Linked DNA regions of Coturnix japonica. The protein of the gene in region 2 interacts with the protein of the main gene of each other region in a biochemical or structural test. Links are inferred from orthologs where the notes say so. Each region holds a gene or a part of one and is shown on either strand. Other genes may lie near its edges.

Region 1 (3,056 bases), on a different chromosome or scaffold from region 2:
CTAACCCTCATCAGTTCCCAATAATCTCAAAAAGAGAGGATCATTTTTAAGAACTTCACTTGAAAGACTCCAGTACAACTTTTAATGAAGTTATAGATTACATGACATAAAAGAATATCAAGTCCTCTAAAAATGGCATAGTGAAAGTATTGCTTAATTAAAAAAAATAAAATAAAATAAAAAACAAAACAAAAAACCCCCAAAGAATAGTAAAATGAAAAAAATATTCAGAAATTCCTCCAAAATCTCTCTGATCTTCCAGACTTCCTTAGTACAGTTCACATTCTGAAGATGAGCTGCACATGCAGTTTCCTTGCAAAGAGCTAGCTATCAGTAAAGCGTCTGAACAAAATGTTAAAAAATCCTACAGCAGAAGTCAGGAAGAAGAGGGGATCTTCCTCCACAGTTTCCATCTAAAATTATATATGCCTCAGTACCAGTCAGAGCTGAAGAAAAACAAGTCTGAGAGGATAGAAAAGTGAAAGCATTTAACACTGAGAAGGGACTGCAAAACAAAACTGATAACTATGTACACACAAATATACAAATATGGAGATAATATTTATGCAAAGAGCACAGAGGTTTAAATAAGATGCAGAAATAAAACCAGAAGATGTGACAGCTGGCTAATAAAACACGAAAGAACGTAGTTGATTACAATTCTAATTGCATAACTTGCATGGAAACAGGATGTTATGACCTACTTTCAGTGCTTACACCACCAAGTCCTTCTGAAGTACCTGTGAAAACTGTTCATTTCTGGGCCTCTTGGGCAAACATCCATTTGTACACTCTCAAAGCTAACATTGTTTCTGATAACTTCACGATTAGAACTGCAAATGTTATTTTTAATGTGAGCTGATGAGAAAAAATGAGAAACTTCTTTTCTAGGAAAGCACTTCCCATACTGAAAGGATGGGAAAAATACAGCATGGTTTAAGTTTATCGTAGCTTATCATTTCTGCGAATTAACTGTACAGGCAAGGCTGCAATTTCATAAATCAAAGCCTTCAGTCTGAATTACCTGTGACATTCTAAGTGTCACCTTCTTCAGAATTTACTGGTAGATTAAATTTATTTAGTTCAAACAATTCAACTTCTGTTAACGCTTTCACAGCAGTTTACAACTGATCGTGTAATTGGCTTGTAATAAGACAACAGGTGAATCTGTTTGCAAGAATCCACAGAAGGTGCATTAGTAGTGAAATGGAACATTCAAAAACATCATCACATCTCCACATAAACAAGTACGCTTAATCTTCTATGTGTTGTATGGATATACGAAGCCTCAAAAATGGCCTTTTTCACTGCTTCTGATTGGCAGACAGAATGCACAACTGGTACTTTGCCTTTCCAATGTGGTACATCTCTGCTTTTAGATCCCCTTCTTTTAAAGAATTTGCAGATTTGTCTCACCAGGTTTTTCACAACAGTGTAAGAAGAAACCATTAAGCACTAAATGAGAAGATTCCTAGAACTGTGTTGAAAAAACAAGAAACAGCATACACAATTTGTCCTGCAATATAGGTATATAGGAAGTAACAAGCAAGGGAAAAAAAAAAGTTATCCTAATGAAGTGGCTGACACACGCTGACTAACTACAGAACCTCAGAAACAAGTGATGAAATGAAAACTAAACAGTCAAAAGTGGAGAAATCAGTAGTCACTTTAACAGATGAACTACCCTCCAGCCACTTCCAATGGTTCTTTTGTGCAGTTGCTCACAAATAACACAGCAACATCAGTTAATGGTTCAGTCCACTAATGGATATCTTGAGTATGACTCTGTTGTACATCAGATTCTGTAATTTCTGTGGAAGCTACCTTTATTTTTACATTTAAAAATAATTATTAATTCCACTGATGAGAAACTGGAACATGATTCCAAATTAAGGGTGTAAGCTTCAAATATAAAAAATGATGTATCATCACTCACGGAGATGTTTGGTCTACAGATGAAAATGGCTTCAGAATAAATATTTAATCCTGCACACAAACGCTTCAAGGGAAACCAAATTTTATGTGAGACATGCCCTGAGCTATCTAGACTCTCTAATAGTGCAAACAATGTTGCAGCGATGCCTGGTTTCATCCTGGCTTTTGCAAAAGAAATGGAGCAGATGTCCACAGATTTCCTATTGGCTGGCACACTATAACATTAAGTGCACTACAGCCATTCTTGTAGCTTTGCTAAGTTCGTCTCCATCCACTGGATATTAAGTTGAATTGTGTCAATCGCCTCTTTTACACAACGCAGTTTAGAGCTCTCTTCTGATTTTGACTCAAAAAATGTCTTCACCTGCATAACAAGAGAAAAGAAAGAGTCTTAATTAAAATCAATGCTGGCCAAACAAATAGGTCCAGAAGCAAAGGCTACATACATGTCAGATTGACCTTCCATTCCTGCTCAGTATTATACCTATCAATCAATGGTTACACCTGAAATTCTACCACTCAAATCACAGGCAGCTACCCCTGTCCCAGTTTTCTGAAGGAAAACATCAGACCAAACCTTAAACCACTCTTAACAGATGAACTTCAGGGCCTTGTTAGGAAAGACTCTGAGATTTCTAATGAGCATTAACTGGATACTGAACATCCAAAACAGCTTTTTGGAATTGCTGACAGCTAAAATAATGTACAGCAATCTTTAAGGCCCTGAACACGTTCCACAGAAAAGAAAAGCACAGATTATTCACAAAGTCTAGACCAAAGCCTCTGGTTTGAGGATAGGCTGAGAACTGGGGCTGTTCAGCTTGGAGAAGAGAAGGACGTGAGGTGACCTAATAGAGGCCTTTAAGTGTCTAAAGGGAAGCCACAGGAAAGAAGGGGACAAACACTTTAGCAGGGACTGTGGCGACAGAACAACGGGAAATGGCTTCAAACTCAGGAAGGATACATTTAGGTTAGATTTAAGGAAAAAATCTTTTGCAGTGAGAACAGTAAGGCACTGGCACAGGTTACGCAGTGTTGTGGTGGATGGAGACTTTCAAGGGGAGGCTGGATTAAGGCCCTGGGCAGCCTGATCCAGCTGTGCTGTCCCTGTTCATGGCAGG
Region 2 (3,500 bases):
TAGTTTTTGCACAATAGAAAGGTATTAGAGCAAATCATAACTTCACAGAAAGCAGTGAGAAAAGCTATTCATTTGTTTGTCTTTTCTGAGAAATGACAGTCTGGCATGTAATTCCCACTTATTTTTGGGACAGGATTAAGCTTACTTTTACAGTATCCACATCACCAGCCTTCGCAGCCTCCAACAATTGTCTATCAGCATCTGAATTACCTAGAGGGATTCCTTCTGCAAAAGAAATGACATTGTATGGCAGATGATTAATTGTACACAGCTGAAATAATTTAGGATAGGAAATAATTTCTGTATTTCAGGAATTTAAAGGAAGTCAAGGATTTAATGGAAAAAGCAATAACAGACAGGTTTTGTATTTTTTTTATGTACAGCTGTAGCTATTAGCTCAACAAGTGTTTAAAAAGTTGCCTACAGGAACATGATTCCTACCAATTTTAAAGTGCTGTGAAACCAATCAAAGTTTCAGAATCAGACTAGTCTGAAGAATCTTACTTACACATATAGTATCTAAACCTTACTCAATAAATTCTACATTTTTTCTTTTTAAACCCATTTTCCACTTACAAGTCTGTACCCTCCCTTCTGTATATCAGGACTTACACAAAATGGTTCCAGGTGGTTATACCATTTAACATTCTGAGCAGCTCCAACAGTCTGCATACCAATACTAGAGATTTAACCGTATCTATAAGCAGGACCTTTCCATGTGCATTTGGTTATGGAATAAGAATTGAATAACTGAAGACAGCTTTTACCTTTTGTAAGATGTACTTTTTTGTTGTTGTTTGTGCTTACTATTATTCTTTGACAGAACTGAAAATACCAAGTAAAATTTGCTATCACGTTACTTCCTAAATCCATCTTGAATAAATCAGCTGTACCTTGCAGTAGCTGTTGCACACTTTCATTCCCCATTTGTAAGGCTGTAAAGCCCTGCAGAGACACGATGGAAGGATCACATCCAGAACTCAACAGCAACCTGCAAGTCTGGAGGTGACCACAATGTGCTGCTCTGTGAAGAGAAGTCTGGCCAAGGTTATCCAATGCATTAACCTAAAGATAAAACAGAATCTTTAGAATATAATCTTAAAAGAAATAAAAACATCAAAACACTTAAAGCTATTTTCACTGCTGGCTGGGAGTGTTTCACAAGTATTCTTTCTACACTGATTAGAATAACATTCAGCATATTTTCAAAGGTCACGGCATTTCAAAAGATAAGATGAACAATAGCTGTTCATAAGGTTAGAACTGCATTTATAGAGGAAGAATAGACTCCTGTTAGAATTACCGGAATAATCCCACGTGCATGAACACGTGTGAACAAATAGTTACAGCAGTTTTACCACACATAGAAGTAGTCTGTAATTTTCACTATGAAGCAAGCAACTTTTGTGCCAGTGTGTAAAGTCACTTGCATCTATATTGGCTTATTGTAGTCTTTCAGATTTAGGGCTTTATAACGTTTCAGTCAAGGCAACCAACATTCAAAATTCTGTACCCAAAGGTTATCTGTACTTCCTACTGTTCCACTGGCTTTGATTATCACTTTGTAAACTTTACAGCAGTCCACATCCAAAGGCCACTTCCAAGTTTCCACAATGAAGAACTTAAAATACCATTTTGGAGCAACCCAAGCCCAAAATTACAGAGCATCTTCTTTCTACGTTCTCTTTCTCTGGAAATTTGGGTCAAAGCACTGTACTGATTTAACATTCTGCTTTCACTGTAATTTTTACTGCACACAACAGTATACCTGCTTCACAATTCAGACTAACCTCTTCTTCATGCACCTCCTATCTTTTCTTTTTTTTAAACAGAGTATAAATCCTTCTTGATAATACAGCACGTAATAAGATCTTCCACATTTTTAATTATCACTATAAAGAATTATGACTGCACACTCTATAAAACCAACCAAAGACAACGTCTTAAAGTTGTAAGTGTACTGCTGGATTGACACTCTGTCTTAAGAGTATATGTCTATAACTTCCAAAACAAATTTAGCCAAGTGTTTACTCTGCTCTCCATTCATGTGACAAGAAAAGAGAACAGAAATTAAACAACAAGAAAAGTACAAATATTAGCTCATACCTTAGCTTCATGTTTCACAACTACTTCAACAACATCATTATGAGCTTTTTCTGATGCCACGTGCAGAGGAGTCAAGAAGCTTTAAAGAAAAAAATATATATAGTTTAGAAGGCATTTTGCAAAATCTTCTGAACAAACATTTAGGAGGATTCACTTGCAACTCACTCTTTTGTCTTTTCGTTAATGTTAGCACCTTTCCTCAGCAGCAACTCACATACTTGTTTTCTCTTAGGATAAGGAGATGCAGCAGCACAGTGCTAGAAAAAACATTAACAACCATTAGCATTAATAACCAGTTAGCAACACAAGGTTTTATTACTTATTAAGAGCTGGTCGTGTGCAGAGTCAGCATAAAAAGAAATACACAAAAAAACGTATTAACTTAAGAAGTTCCAGATGAACTCTTCAGATTCATTCTGGTATTTTCCCAAATTCTCTCAGAAGATTCTACGCTTTACAAAGCTAACACACGTAACTTGCTAATACTCAAAATTAGTGCATTCTATAGAAGAGAATTTACACAACCTAAGTAAAAGAGGTAATTTGTATTGGTCTGAACATTACTCTTAAACAATTTATTTTTTTTATGCTTAACACTGATCTGAATTACACAACTATGCTGTTTAACAATGCAACTGAGTCCTCAACTATTGCCTACTACATTTAGTCAGTCACATTTAAGAAATTCAGAAATGTTACCAGTGCAGTCTCGTGTGTTTGAGGATGCTTGAAGTTAACTGTCTCCAAAGAAAGATGTTTCTTTATACGAGCAACATCTGATTCTCTTGCAGCTTGTAGCAGTGAGTGACCTTTGAATTCATCTTTAAAGAGAAAGACATACGAGAACTTTACATTCTTTAGCACTAGAAGGATCGATAAGATTGATTCTTTCAGTTAGAGGAAAGCAATCATTTTATTTCCTGATAGGAAATTCAAGGGGCTTCTTCCCCTGCTAGAGTCACAGGTGCATTCAACTTCCACTGGGTCACTGTCCAGGTAACCTAAACATACAGTGTGATCTAAAACTGAAGAACTGATCTCATTTTATACTCACATGCTAATCGTTCTTTTAATTGGGGCGTTGGAGCCAAATCAATGGTGCTTTTGTTGTGACAGTTCAACAGTGTTGGGTCAGCACCATAACTTAACAAAAGAGAACATACTTCCACCCTGTTCTTAGAAGCTGCTTCGTGCAGAGGAGTGAACTGCCACAGATCCATTGCATTCACACACGCTCCATGCTTGAAAAGGAGGAAAAAGGATACAATATCAAAACCAGATTTCTAGAAAAGGGCTTGCCAATGCAGTAGACTGTTCAAATAAAAATTAAAGCTAGTATGGAAATGGCATCCAAGTCATTCTCCAAATTTTCACATTCAATATTACAGCATATT

The links.
Region 1: the proteins of TNKS2 (region 2) and LNPEP form a complex in vitro, tested with the Homo sapiens proteins (4 studies listed by BioGRID and IntAct, with this or other methods). The link is inferred for Coturnix japonica from reciprocal best matches to the Homo sapiens genes TNKS2 and LNPEP.

Annotation. Positions count from the first base shown.
Region 1 is NC_029547.1:45,767,852-45,770,907, forward strand, and holds part of LNPEP (leucyl-cystinyl aminopeptidase), read right to left. Parts: intron 2,300-3,056; coding exon 2,168-2,299; 3' UTR 1-2,167. UniProt on the Homo sapiens protein: Release of an N-terminal amino acid, cleaves before cysteine, leucine as well as other amino acids. Degrades peptide hormones such as oxytocin, vasopressin and angiotensin III, and plays a role in maintaining homeostasis during pregnancy.
Region 2 is NC_029521.1:17,311,459-17,314,958, reverse strand, and holds part of TNKS2 (poly [ADP-ribose] polymerase tankyrase-2), read right to left. Parts: intron 3,348-3,500; coding exon 3,161-3,347; intron 2,928-3,160; coding exon 2,806-2,927; intron 2,364-2,805; coding exon 2,272-2,363; intron 2,186-2,271; coding exon 2,107-2,185; intron 1,066-2,106; coding exon 894-1,065; intron 226-893; coding exon 146-225; intron 1-145. UniProt on the Homo sapiens protein: Poly-ADP-ribosyltransferase involved in various processes such as Wnt signaling pathway, telomere length and vesicle trafficking.